Linked DNA regions of Notamacropus eugenii. The protein of the gene in region 1 binds, or shares a complex with, the protein of each later gene. Links are inferred from orthologs where the notes say so. Each region holds a gene or a part of one and is shown in the gene's direction. Other genes may lie near its edges.

Region 1 (7,895 bases):
TGGAGAAGGAATAGCTAGTACAGGGGATGAGGGACTGGAGGTTATGGTGAGGAAAAACAAGGTTTGGGGTTTTAAGGCAGAGAAAGAGATAGAATGACAATGGTTTGTGAGCAGATAAGGGAATTTCAGAGTTCGTGAACATGAAAATGGTGTATTTATCAGTGCTGTCAATAGAGAAATGCAAATGAAAGAAACCACAAGGTTCCACCTCATACCAGTAGTATTGGCAAAGATGGAGAAAGAAGAAAATGACAAATGTTTGCAGGGACTTTTTGAAAGAACATATAGTTGATGGAGCTATAAATTGGTCTAGCCATAGTAGAAAGCAACTTAGAACTATTCTTCCAAAGTTACTAGCCTTTGACCCAGTAATACCACTACTCAGAATGTTGAAAACTGAAAATAAATCAATTTATATGAAAAAAATACCACTACTAGACTTTTGCCCTATGAGATCATAGACAAAAGGCAAAAAGCATATATATACATATATGTATACACATACATATATGCATATATATAAATATATAAATATTTATAGCAGCTCTTTTTGTACTAGCTAGAAACTAGAAACTCTGGGAGGACCCACCTATTGGGTAATGGCTAAAATGTATTATGGTACATGAGTGTAATGGAATATTTATTGCACCATAAGAAATGATTAAATGGACAATTTCAGAGGGAACGGATTATACTTCTGTGATCTGATGCAGAGTGAAATGAGCAGAAGTAGAGTACAATGTGCACAATGATAATGTTATAAAGAAAAACAACTCTGAAAGACTTTAGAACTCTTGTCAATGAAATGACAAATCACATTTCCTGAGGACCTAAGATGAAGCAAGCTTTGCACTTCTTGCCAGAGACATGATAGATTTTGAATCCAGAATGAGACATACATTTTTTTGGACGTGGCCAATATGAGAACTTGTTTTGCTTCATTATGCATATTTGTTATGTTTAGGAGGAACTGGAAGGGAGAAAAGTAGTTTCTTAAAATATGAGATAAAGCAAAACTTAAAAAAAGAAAGACAGGCAGGAGCCCTGGCAATTGTGGATTAATTACCCAATATGTGATTTTCTATTTCTTCTTAGCAGCAATGTGAAGGCACTGCCTAACCAAGAGAAATAATTAGGTCTGTACATTAATAATATCAATTCAGAAGCTGTGCTGATGATAGGTTCGGAGAGATGAGAGCCTGGATTCAGGGGGACCACTTAGGAGGCTCTTGATGGTCTAAGCAAGAGGTGATGAGAAACTGAACAAGAGTAGTTGTGGTAAGTGGAGAGAGGGGAATGGATATGAAACATACTGTAGGGTTAAAGTTGAAAAAAACTTGTGAAGGGATGAGTGAGAATGCATAGTCAGCAATCCTAAGTTGTAAACCTGGTGGAGTCCTCAACAGAAGTTAGGGGAAGGGGAAGGCTTAAGGGAAAAAAGATGAGTTCACTTTTGGATGTTCTGTTTGAAATGCTTATGGTACATCTTAGGTGGAGATGTTGAGCAGGTAGTTAGAGATGCAGGCCTGGGATTTAGGAGACAGATGGGACCTGGATATATAGATTTGATAGTCATCTGAATAGAGATAATAGTTGAACTCATAAGAACTAACAAGAATAAGAGAGAATATACAGAAAGGATGAGCAAGGGAGAGTCTTGAGGTATACCTGCATGTGAAGGGTGAAGCATGATCATATAAAGGAAACGGAGGAGGGAGCAGAGAACATCTAAAAGGAGGGACTGATCAACAGCCATGTCAAGAAGTATGAGAACTGAGAAAAAGTAGATTTAGGGACACAGTTATCATGAGTGATCTTGGAGAGAGTATATACAGTTGAGTTTAGAAGTCAGATCATAAAAGGGTGAAAAGTGAGTGGGGGGGTGTGTGTGATAAAATAGAAGCAATAGACAGCTTTTTCCAGGATCAGGTCCTTAAGCTTTTTTGCATCATGAACCCCTTCTTAAAATAGGGTTTATAAATGTATAAGATAAAATATATGGGATTACAATTGAAACCAATTCTGATGAAATACAGTTATCAAAATATTAAAAAAAATATAGACCCTCCCACCCCTAACCTTTGTTTACGAGTTTTACTTTCAAGGGTTACATTGAGGAGATTTGTAGGATCAAGTAAATGCTTCTTAAAGATAGGAGAGATCTGGACATGTCTGTAGGTAGGAGGGAAGAAACTAGTGGATAAAGAGAGATTGAGTCTGTAAGGAAGAGAACCTTACCCTGCCATGACCTCTACTTTTGTACTCTTGTTTATCCCCTTTCCTCTTCTTCTGTAATTTTACTCTTTAATCATTCCCCCTCTCTCTTCTTCAATCTTGAGTTATCAGGAGTCAATACTTCCTTCCCATTGCCTGCAAACATGAGCATGTATCTCTCTCATCATTAAAAAACAAACAAGGGCAGCTAGGTGGTACAGTGGATAGAGCACCAGTGCAGGAGTCAGGAGGACCTGAGTTCAAATCTCACTCAGACACTTGACACTCACTAGCTGTGTGACCTTGGGCAAATCACTTAATCCCAATTTCCTCATCCTGGGTCATCTCCAGTTATCCTGATGAATATCTGGTCACTGGATTCAGATGACTCTGGAGGAGAAGTGAGACTGGTGACCTGCACAGCCCTCCCTCCCTCAAAACAAAATCAAGGGCAAGTCATGTCATTACTTCTCTGGTGGCATGGTCTTCTTCAGCAACCAAGGACGAACAAACACTAAAAAACAAGCAACCCTTCACTTGACCCTATCATTATTATCCTGCCTTTATTTCTCCCTCCTTTCACAAAGTCCTACAAAAAATTTTCTACACTTGTTTTTCCCACTCCCTTGTTTCTTATTCACTTTTCATTCTGGATTTTGACCCTGATACTCGATTAAAAGTTTTTTCTGCAAGGTAAATTTCCATCTTACCACTAATAAAATCCCATGATCTTTTATCAGTCCTCATTCTACTGACCCTTTCTACAGCCTCTGACATTGTATAATCATACCCTCCAGAGCCTTAGCATTTCTGTGACTCTTCTGGGGCTCCTCCTACCTCTGATTGCTTCTTCTGTCCCCTCCTTTGCTGGATCATCATCAGAAGAAAGACCCTGGAAAGCTACTATGCCGTCTTAGAATCTGCTGACAACAAATTGTTATTTATCATTGATGGGAGGCACAACAGTTGGGGCTGGTGATTTTGAGATTAGGAAAGACATTTGAGCAGACCTCGAAAGAAGCTAAGGAAAGAGTGGGAGTGCAAATTCAGCAAAAACTGGAATGTTTACAGGTTCTAGAAGCATAAACTAAGGCTATAAAATTAGGTCAGAGCCAGACTGTGGAAGACTTTAAATTTGCATTCTATACTAGAAACTATAGGCCAGCGGTAAGGAACCTGCAGCCTCGAGACCACGTGTGGCCCTCTAAAGTCCTCAGATGCAGCCCTTTGACTGAATCCAAACTTCACAGAACAAATCCCTTTTAATAAAAGGATTTGTTCTGTTAAAACTGCAGGTTCTCCACTCCTGCTATAGGCAGTCAGTGAATGGGCACTCTAAATATGGGTATCCCTCAAGTCTCCATCCTGGGCCCTCTTCTCTCTCCCTATACACTGATGATTCAGTTAGTTCTTGTGGGTTCAATGATCATTTTTATACAGATGATTCCCAAGTCTATATGTGTGTATGTAACATGCACACACATAATACATCCTCTAGCCTTGACAAGTCTTCATTCTGATTGCCCCAGTATTATGTTCAATAAATTACTAGGTCTTGACATTCCTATTTTTAGGGCATATCTCCCATCTGTTCTTCTTTCTTCACTCATCCTTAACCATCCTAGTTATATTTTCCAATCACTCCTCACTTGAGTACTGAAATAACTTACCAGTGGGGTACCCTCACATCCATTCCATCCTCCACAAGCTGCCATAATGGTCTGCCTAGGACAAAGGCCTGACCACATCACTTTCTCCACCACAGACCTTCCAGTGACTCCTCAGCGTCTCTAGGGAAGACAACACTAAGCAACAGCCAGTGTTTTTAGCATTTGATATCTTCCATGATCTATCTGCTTTTTCCAGACATAACTAATGATAAGGCTTTAGCCTGAAAGGGCCAAGGTCTCCCTTGCATCCTGGGTCATCTCCAGGCATCCTGGTGACTATCTGGTCTTTGGATCCAGATGGCTCTGGAGGAGAAGTGAGGCTGGTGACCTGCGCAGCCCTCCCTCCCTCCAGTCAAGGTCAATGCAACTCATGTCATCACCTGGACGTCATGGTCCTCTTCCAGAACGAAGGACAAACGCAGCAGCATTTCTGTAAGCGCTTTAAGGCTTACAAAGCACTTTCCATGTTAGCTCATTTGGTCCATTTTACAGATGAGGAAACCGAGGCACAGAGAGGTGAGTGACTTGCCCAGGGTCCGCGGTACCATCCGGGTCAGCTCTTGCTCCACAGCAGCACCATCCGCTCCATTTGTTCCTTTTCTGACTGGCTCCCGCTCACATCCAACAGCATTCCGTCCCCTGCCCTCCTGCACCCATACACGCCGCATGTCAAGTCTGGACTTGACGGCCTCCTCCACTGCTTACAGTAACTGGAGGCGGGCCGTTCTCCTCCTCAGTCTCAGCCCTCCCCACCCACTGCCATGCGGCTGGCCTAAGTGTGTAGTCAGGGCGTCCCCTGGAGGTGAGAGGCGGGAGGGGGGCTGCGGAAGGGAGAGCGCCTTGCCTAACGTGACTAGGAACTACCACTCCCAGCAAGCAGCAGGGTGGCCGCGGAGGCGGAGGGGCGGGGGAAGTCCTGGGAGATCGATGGGGGTTGTAGTCCAGGCCTGTCTTACGGCCGTTCCGTAGCCCGCTCAACTAAGGACCAATCAGAAGGCCGGCGGAAATCTCGCCAGAGAAAGACGGCGTCTCTGGCTCGCGCCCCGCTACTCCGGGGGACCTGGCTGGCGGCCGCTGGGCTTGGGCTGCGCTGGGGAGCCGGGACCTGTGGCCCGACCAGCCCGTGGAGAGCAAGGCGCCCCTCGACTCCTGCGGGCCCCCCTCGGCCTCCTGTATTGCGCACCACAAAGCCGGCTCTAGCCGCCACTACTTTTGTGATCTTAGGCAAGTCCCTTCCCCCAGCAGGCCTCGCCTCGGAGCGTCCCGCGTCTCCCCTCGTGGGTTTGTTTGTGTGTGCGCGTGCGTGTGGGGGCGCGCGCCCGGTGCGGTGCACACAAACATTTAAGCGCCCCCCGCCGCCCACCTGGCCCATGTTTTTCCCTAGGTTTCCCAGGGCCCAATAACCATAACCACGGAGCCAGCACTCGCCCCCTGCTGCAGCGATGACGCCCCCCAGGCTGCGCCCGAGCCAGCGGAGCCCCCGACCCCTTCTATGGAGCTGGGGGAAGAGCGGGACCCTGAGACCCCTGCTCCTCCGGGACCGGACGCAGAAGCCCCTGTGGAGGAGGTGACTGCTGGAGAAGGGCAGGAGCCCGCCCCAACCGACGGCCTCCCCGAGGGTGAGGGGGCAGCCCCCGAATTCGCGCCTGGTGAGCCGGCGGAGGAAGTCCTGCAGGAGCCAGCCCCGGAGTGCGAGGAGTACTAGTAAGTGACTGGGAGGCGGGCTGCTCCCTTCGGGGAAGGCTTTGTTTCCCCTCCCAGCCCTGCTTCCTTCGGCAACTAAGTATCAGCGCGGCTGTCCTGCCCCTCCCCCTGGTCCTCCCGAAGCCTAGCGCCCACTCTTCATCTCCTTCCAGCTCCTGGAGCTACAATTTCTCCCAGCCCCCTCGCCTCCTCAATGGCTCCTGGTCAGAGTTCAGCTTGCAACCTGAGAACTTCCTAAAAGGCTGTAAATGGTAAGGATAATGGTGGGGGAGGAGAAGGAAGATTCTGGGTGAATTAGATGGCGGGGAGGGTACTGGATGAGAAAGGACAAGATTGTAGTGGCAGGGAGGTGTTGGATCTGGGCTGTCTTCTTTGAATTAAGTTGAACTGGGTCTTTATTGCTCAGTTCTCTCCCAGGACCCAGTGCCTGCCATTTCCTTCAGGGACTCAGGAGTTCCTACCTCCCCACTCACTCCGCTACCAGGCATCCAGCCTAAATCTCCTCTGCCTCCAGGGCCCCCGATGGCTCCTGCCTCTTGACCAACAGTGCCGACAACACCTTGCGGATTTATAACCTCCCGCCAGAGCTGTATAATGAGGAGGAAGAACTCGAGAATGCAGAAATGGTGAGTGTCGGAACCTGTACCTTTTCTTCAGTCACCCCTACGGAAGATGTTCCCTCCTGTCTTTTCTTCCTGATTGTAAATAGTAAGTTCTTTATATAAATCTGACCCACATCAAGTTTTTGAAGAGAAATGTTCCTTGGTCTCCCTGTGGCTTCTAGGATAAAATGCAAGTGTAGAACTTCCCACTATCTGGCCATAATTTATCTTTACAGACTTAGTTCCTATTATTCCTTTTGTACAACCTGTACACGGTCCAACCAGACTCTGTAGGTTTCTTCTAGGGCTGAAAAGCATTCCCACATTTTCCTTAGCTTCTCTCGAAGTCTGTTTGTGTTCTCTAAGCCTTTCCTAATACCACAGTTAAAATCTTCCTCCTATTATTTTCCCTGTGTCCCATATCCTTTGCTTCTTTAGAGTAAGGGAGGATTTTTTTTCCTTTGTATTCATTTGGCTCCTACAATATGTCAGGCAGTGTTCCAGTTGATAGTAGGACAAGAAAGAGTAAAACTACTTCTATCCTTCTCAAGGACCTTTCTCTTCTCTTAGGGAAAGTAAGACATACATAGAAAATTTATATATGCACACACGTACATATATATGCACATGTACACACATATATATACATACATGTGTGTGTATAAACTAATTTCTTCAGGCATTGGGGGTCAAGATAGGCTTCCTTTGAAGGAGGTGGCTTTTGAGCTGAGCTTTGAAAGAAGCCTGGCATGTATTTCCGTTGATGTTACCACTATCTTCCTAGTCCCCACTGTTCAAAGTCTTAGAATCATTAAGCTCCCTCGTAAGCACAGCATCTCTTCTGACTGGGATGCTTTATGTGGTTCCTAAGGTCTGTCTCTTTCTTGAGCTGGAACTTGACTCTAGATTGCCAGGGCTAGCCCTCTTCAGTCCATAGCTGGTTTCTCTCTTTTGCTTTGAGACCTGGATCAGTCACAAAGGTAGTTCTGGATATTAGTGACCACTTTTCTGAATCAGTTTCTGAAGTATTTCTCTTGTCACCTCAATTCTGTCTCAAACTCTTCTTGAACTGATTTTCCATTATCTGTTGGATGTCTCTCTGAACAAATTTCTTTGGCTTGTTGGAGCAGGGAAGAGAAAAAGTCCCTTCTCCCAAGAGGTGAATATCTAAATTCTTCCTTGATTGCTGGTTCCTGGCCTTGACTGCTGAACTCTTAAGCTGCTGGTTGTTTCCAGGGCTTAGCTATTTAAAGAACCTAGCCAGTTTTCAGCTCAGTGGAGTTACCTCATCTGATTTAGAGAGGTGTTCATATTTGGAAGAGGAATTGAGTGTTAACACCTTATTTCTTCTCTTCCCCCCGCCCCATGTCTTCACATCTGTGAACTCTTATCACTTGAACTACAGGCAAGGAGAACAAATTACATTCAGTTAATTACCAGATATTATTGATTTGATTTCCCTAATAGTCTGTCTCTTTCTTCCTTTCCACCTTCATTCTGGTTCAGGCTTTGATCAGCTCCAGCCTGGACTATTGTAATAAACTCTTACTGGTCTTCTTGCTTCCGTTCTTATTCCAAGTCAATTAATCCTTCACCCAGTTGCTGACAGTCTTTTGGGGTGTAGGGTTGTGATTGCAGTGTTTTTCAAGTGCACATGAGGACAACCCTACTAGGTAACCCCCACTCCTCTTCTCATCTTCAGAGG
Region 2 (6,879 bases), on another chromosome or scaffold:
GGAATTGTTCCCGTATCCTCGAGGAATTTGCCACTCCCTCTCTTTAATCCACGATATCTGTTTATTCACTGGCTCCTTTCTTACCTCCCAGGAGCATAGCCAGATCTCCCCTATTCTTTAAGACAAAACCAAACCAAACCAAACTTTCATTTGGTCCTACTATCCCCTCCAGGAATCTTTTCTCTTTCACAGCCAAACTCTTAGAAAAAGTGGTCTTCAGTGACTACCTCCACATCTTTACCTCCCACTCATTTTTCTACCTTTTCCAATCTGGCTTCTATTATCACCCCTGCACAGAAACTGTTCTCTTGGCTTCATCAACAATCTCTTAGTTACTATATCCAAGGGCCTTCTCTTAGGCCTCATCCTTTTTCCTGTCTCTGGACTAGCCCTCTCCTCCTGAATATTCTCTCTGCCCTGGGTTTTTGTGATACAGACCTCTAGTCTCCTCACATTCCTTTGCTGGAATCTGATCTATATGTAGATGTGCACTAGATCTCCATCCTGGGCCCCTCTTCTCTTATATCAGCTAGCTATACTCTCAGTGATTTCATCAGCTCCCATGGGTCCAACTATCATCTCTGTAGCTGACTCCCAAATCTACACATTCAGCTCTCTTTCATTTTCCAAGAAATAGGCCCATATTACCAATTGCTTGTTACATCTTATTGGACCATAAGCATATCAAACATGTCCAGAAAAGAACTCATTTCTCCCCTTCAGCTTACCATTCCTCCTAACATCTTTATTTCTCTATTATCCTTTCAGAACCCAGGTTCATAACCTCAAAGGCATCCTCAACCCTTCAACAATCAACTGATCAATCAAAGAACATTTAGCAAGCTCTTCCTACTATGGTGCTAAGCACTAGGGATTTAAAAAGAGACAAAAGACAGGGCAGAGAAAGAAAAGGCTGGAGCCATGGGAACTGGATTAGTTGGGGAATGGAAGACGAAGTGGACTTGTAAGATCTCTCTCTCTCACACTCTCTCTCTCTCTCTCTCTCACACACACACTCTCTCTCTCTCTCTCTCTCTCTCTCTCTCTCTCTCTCTCTCTCTCTCTTTCTCTCTCTCTCTCTCTCTCTCTCTCTCTCTCATACACGCATATACACACACACACCAGAACAGTTTCCTTGTTATACTGTGAAAATGTATAGAGTTCAAGCATGGGAGAAGAAGATACAGTTTCAGGGATTCAGTTCTAAGAACTAACAGTTCCAAGAGGGTACCCTGAAGCTTTAATAATAATAATAATAATAATAATAATAATAATAATAATAATAATAATAATAAGATGTAGGGCTTGCTTGAGTTCTTGGCACATGTAATTGTTTCTGCTAAATAATAATTGTTTCTCTTTTACCCAGGAACCCTGAAGGTCTTCTCCCAGTTTGATTTTTTTTTTTTAATTTTTGATGATCAAGGGCCATCCCTTGAGCAGCTACTTAAAGAAGCCTATTCATTGAATGGGTGTATCTTACTCAAAGTGAGAATGCTATAGGAACCTTAGCCTGAAAGGGCCAGGGTCTCCCAGTGCATTCTGGGCCATCTCCAGTCATCCTGATGACTATCAGGCCACTGGACCCAGATGGCTCAGGAGAAGAAAGTGAGGTTGGTGACCTTGCACAACCCTCTCTCACTCAAATCAAAGTCAACTGCAAGTCATGTCATCATCTTGATGTCATGGTCCTCTTTGAGAACGAAGGACAAACACCACCACCACCACCACCACCACAACAACAGTAGCAGGTGCTAGGGCTTTGTAAATATTTGCTGAAATGATTTGAGGGCTTTGCTTGAAGGTGATACATACAGGAAATGTTACTCTGAAGTCAATCCAAAGAAGAATGAGCAACATTTTGAATACTAAGTTGCTGTTCTCTGTAGAAGCATGGGAGGCCAGCCACATGGTATGGTGGAAAGCCTGGAGGGCTTAGAATCAGGAAACCTGATACTTTAACTTGCTAGTGTGTGAGAGTCACACTGTTTCTCTGTAAAATGGAGTTAGATAATACTTGTTTATTCTTGGAGTGATAAAGGTGAGGGAGTTCTCATTTAACAGAGAGAAGGCTGGCCTTTGAACAGTGAAGTCTAGAATTCAGATGTTTGGTTCCTTATGCCAGGTGTAAGTCCCAAAATTCCCAGTGCTTCTGAAGAGGGATACCATGTAAGTGCCATGTAACCTGTCTCAGAAGGGACAGTCTCAGAAGTTATTGCTTCTGCTGGAGGATTTCTGGGGTCAAAACTAAGGAGGAATTAAATTGATTGGTCTTGGCTAAAAGTTTCTTACCTAGAAAGCACCTTCACCCACCCACCCACTCATGACCTTAGTGATCTTTGTCTCTTTACTCCTGTACCTTTGCCCTTCTTGTCAGTTAATTTCTATACCCCCATCAACTTTTTCCTTACAATGTATATTCATTTAATTCTAAGTGTCATTAATACTGTGTCTAGCCTCCCTACCAGGCTCTGTCCTGGGCCTGCTTCTCTTTTCTCTCTATACTGTCTCTTGAAGACTTGATCATCTCTACATAGTTGCCTCCAAAATCCATATATCTAGATCTCATATCTCCCCTGAATTTCAGTGGTGTATTTCCAACTCCCTAATAGATATCTCCCCATTTCCGTTCATTGTCTTTCCATTTAATTAAGTTCCAAATTTTATAGTTATCTTTGATTCTTCTAGATCTCTCTCATACCCTCTTCCCCTCAATTTCTAAGCTGTGATGAAGTCCTGTCAATTCTAGCTTCCCCTCATCTCTTGCGTTTGTCTCCTTTGCTTCACTCACATGCCCCAAACCCGAGTCCAGGCCCTCACCTCTTTCTTGAACCACATGCCACAACAGTCTTTTAGCTGGTCTCTTCTCACTCAAATCCATCTTTCCAACAACTCCCTGAATAATCTTCCTGAGACCCATCATACAGCAGTTCCAAATTCTTCAATGCCTTGCTGTTGCCTCTAGGCCAAAATTCAAACCCCTTGGTGTGGCTTTTAAGGTCCTCCATAATCTGGCTCCAAGCTATCTTTTCTAGTCTTTCCCATTATTCCCATTTTAGCTCAACTGTAGTCTTGGTTGTTTCCTATAATGTACCACCTCCCTGACTTCATCATTCAGGCCATACATATGTATACCCCATGCCTGAACTGTAACAGCTTCATCTGGGGGACATCAAGGCACAGTTCAAGTGCCGCATCCTCTGTGGCTCTTTCTTTGATTTTCCCCCACCTCAACGGAAAGTGCTCTCTCTCCCCCTCCAATTCTTTTGTATTTCGTCATTTGTTTCCTTTCGGAATTTGGGAGAAACTAAGATCTTGAGAATAAGCCAGATCTGGGGGTTTGCCTTTATATCCCCAACACAAGCATATAGCAAGGGCCTTAAAAAAGGCGAATGCCAACCAATTTGGGGGAAGGGGTGGGTTGCAGCTGTGATCAGCAGCATCTGTGGGCTCCGTGGGGTCCTCGAGAGCGGCCAGGACGGGGAGGGGCACGGCTGTCACACGGCGCTGCCCACCCAGCCTGGAGGTCTGCAACCAGAGGCTGGCACGGGAAAGGGCCGGATGCCAGGCCTTCCGGGCGTGGGCGCAGCTCATAAGAATGAGGGCCGAGTGGCGAGGCCGGTTATTTTACAGCTGAGGAAAGTGAGGCGCAGAGGCACGACGCGACTAGGCCGGGGTCACAACGGCGGACCAGGTTAGGCCGGGCAGGGCCGGGGCGGTTCGCGCTTCCGCTCGCCCCCCGCCCATCCGCTCTCCCGGGCGCGGCGCCCCTCGCCCCGCGGGCCCGCCTCTGCTCTGGCAGCCAATCAGACACACGAAGACCGCTACGGGGCACCGCCCTCAGCCTCTGGTCAGCCAACGGGCGCCCTGGGACGCTACGCGTCACTCTGACGTTAAAGGAGGCCGGCTCTGGGACCGCACTGCCTCACGGGACGGAAGCGGGCTGCCTTCAGTCGTTCCCTTCTGCGCTGGGCTAGAGCACGCGGGCCGGAGGCCCCTGGTTGTGGCCACCAACATGGCGGACGGCGAAGGTAAGAAAGGGCCTCCGCTCCTTTGCGGCCTCCCGGATCTGTACGTCGCGGCGTCCGGCGAGAGCGGCTCACGCAGGGCCCAGCGCGCGGGGGGTGCGGGGCCTGAGCGCCGTTGGCCCGGGCAGGGCCCGAACCTGGCGCGCGGTCCCCGCCTGCGTGCGGCGGCTCGGCTCGGCTCGACCCGGGGCGCTCGGGGAGGGCGGCTCGGCTCGGCTCGGCTCGGCCCGGCCCGGCCCGGGGCGCTCCCGGAGGGTGGCTCGACTCGATCCGGGGCGCTCCCGGAGGGCGGCTCGGCCCGGGCGCTTTAACCGTTATTCCTAGTGGGCGGGCGCGTGCGGGCCCCCGAGGTTGGGGTAGGGGAGGCACAGCATGTCCTGGCAGCCCCCGGAAGCTGCCCCTTAGCTGCGGGTGGTGCCGCGGACGGGGGTTGCTGCCGATGCCCGTGCCCCTGCCCAACCTGTGAACGGGCCACGTGGTGACCCTGGGGAAGGAAGCACGTGTGGGAGTCCTGGAGAAGCAGCCTGATCACGGGCCTGGGCACCCACGAGCCCCAACTTCACAGACATCTTTTGGTTTTTTTTTTTAAGTTGTCATTGTATCCAAGAAGCACAAGAAAAAAAAGGAGCGCAGAGTGTTGGGAGAAGACGATGTCGCTGTGAGTACACGATGCTTTTTCCTTGCCAGTATTGGTAATTCCCCATTTCTTCTTGGGAACTGTAGGATTGGGCCATGTTTAGAAAAGAAAGAACCCGGATGGTGTGCTCTTTTGAGCTAGGAGAGCACCCACATTTGTATTCTGGGAGTCACTCCTCTAGCCTGCTCTCAGGATTCCAAGACAGTATTCACCAAGTACTGTTTGCCACATGCACTCTGCAGTCCTTTCTGCCTTTTCTCTGGAGTATTGGAACACAACTGGCCAGTGTTTTTCATATTTTGTTTCTTTGTGTTTCTGCTTGGTTCTGTGTACCGTTTTTTGGGAGCCACAATCATCCGAAAGGGTTAGGATCAGTTGTTAGGCTTTGTATTTTCTGGCCTGCCTGCACTTAGAGGAAATGCCTGTAATCTATGAAATTGAGGTCATTGGACTTTTTCATCCTGCCTTAGGATCTACAACATGAAGGGGAATTCTTCATCAAACCTGAATCTAAAGTAATTCAGTTGGACACATCTCAGTGGCCCTTACTGCTAAAGGTAAGGAATATGTAAACGTTATACATCAAATAATTGCCTTGTGATTTTATATTGGTTGGGGTTTAATTGATTAAATCAGTTTTGGTGCACAATCTCAACTAGTTCATTTTGTAAACTGAGTTCTGTATACCTGTAAATTCTAGTGCATGGTAAATGTGGTTTATGCATTTTACAAAAAAAGTCCTGTTTATAGATCTGTTGCCAGTTTTTCGTGTCTTCTATAAAATTATACAGGCAGATTTTTGTTTTGTTATTTAAACAAAAACTTGAAGATGTGTATTGTCTAATTGAATTGTTCTTTATGCTATAAGACTTCTCACCTATTAGCTAAAGAAGCATTTTGTTCCTTGTGCTGAGTTGTTCAGAAAGCCTGCCCAAAGAGGCAGTATCCATATCTGTATCCTCAGTGGGGGGCAGCATAATTTTGACAATATACAGTCTCCCTTCCCCCCCATCAGAATCACATAGCACAAGTTGTATCTGTTATTTAAAGCATTTCATTTAAATACTCTGATTCCTTATATTTCATTTTGGGAATCAGTACTGTAGGTAAGAATATTAGAATTTTGAAACTTAAATATTTAGTAAATCCCACAGTGCTCAAGCAGAAATATAAAGTTCTCAAACCAAAAGAAGTCCATTCGAGAGGCCCATGCCTTCTGCTATCTGCAGTGTGATAGCTCAGAAAAATGATTTTGGTGAATTGGTTCCTGGTGTAGATTGGTGGTTTTGTTGATTCATTGGATTTTCCATGTGTGGGACCAGTTGGTCTTAACTCTGGGTCTCTTAGAAAAGGGTAAGTCAAAAAATTGAGAATTTGCTTGCTAATTGAGTTTGATTTGTGTCCTGTCATCACTTTTTAGAACTTCGATAAACTAAATGTAAGGACAACCCACTATACTCCCCTTCCTTCTGGATCTAACCCTCTCAAGAGAGAAATTACAGACTATATCAGGTAAGCTGTTTTGCCAAGTAGTGACTTTTCATTACCTTGGGTTCAAACCTTCTGCCCACTTATATTAAAACTCTTAAAATAAGTAACATATTGGAAGTAATATAATCCTTCCTGTTTGGGGGGTGTGGGGGGGTTTGCTTTAGTACTGTCTGGGGCAATTTGCAGATAAAATCCTATTATATGGCAAAGGGCATGACAAGGCTTTATAACAGAAGTATGTCCATGCAGACTGCCTATGACTTGACACCTGAACTAATATGGTGGGCAAGGAATTCTGCTTAACCAGCAGGTACGACATTTTTTCTCCAATCCCTGATTGGGGGTCAGTTGCTCAGTAAATGTACCTGTTTATCTGCTGTTACTACTTCAGGAAGAGAGGGAGAGAGGGAGCTGTGTGCAGTGAGAGCTTCATGACTCTTGTGCTTCTCACTGAGCAGCAATTACCCTGTGGTGATTCTCATCTCTGTGCACCTGAAACATTGCCAAACATACCTGTTTACTCTACACAATACCCTTAACACAGCAGGGAGGGGGAGGGGGAGGACTAACGCTTGTCTGACATTAGGCTCATAGCCCTTGGACTCCTGGCCACACAGCACCTAGGAAAGTGCTCTCCAAATGACAAAACAAGTTGTAATTTGGTCAAGTGGAGTTTGTTATCCTGAGATTTTCCTTGTATCGCCAAAGCAGTGGCAAACAAGC

Evidence for each region. The genes of interacting proteins can lie anywhere in the genome.
Region 2: WRAP53 (region 1) and DKC1 share a complex: the UniProt entries of both Homo sapiens proteins name them as parts of the telomerase holoenzyme complex. The link is inferred for Notamacropus eugenii from reciprocal best matches to the Homo sapiens genes WRAP53 and DKC1.

The regions. Positions count from the first base shown.
Region 1 is NC_092873.1:78,282,004-78,289,898, reverse strand, and holds the start of WRAP53 (telomerase Cajal body protein 1), read left to right. Parts: upstream 1-4,886; 5' UTR 4,887-5,108; exon of another isoform or gene 5,109-5,268; 5' UTR 5,269-5,376; coding exon 5,377-5,588; intron 5,589-5,740; coding exon 5,741-5,839; intron 5,840-6,102; coding exon 6,103-6,214; intron 6,215-7,895. UniProt on the Homo sapiens protein: RNA chaperone that plays a key role in telomere maintenance and RNA localization to Cajal bodies. Specifically recognizes and binds the Cajal body box (CAB box) present in both small Cajal body RNAs (scaRNAs) and telomerase RNA template component (TERC).
Region 2 is NC_092879.1:10,721,303-10,728,181, forward strand, and holds the start of DKC1 (H/ACA ribonucleoprotein complex subunit DKC1), read left to right. Parts: upstream 1-3,875; 5' UTR 3,876-4,015; coding exon 4,016-4,031; intron 4,032-4,618; coding exon 4,619-4,686; intron 4,687-5,135; coding exon 5,136-5,222; intron 5,223-6,085; coding exon 6,086-6,177; intron 6,178-6,879.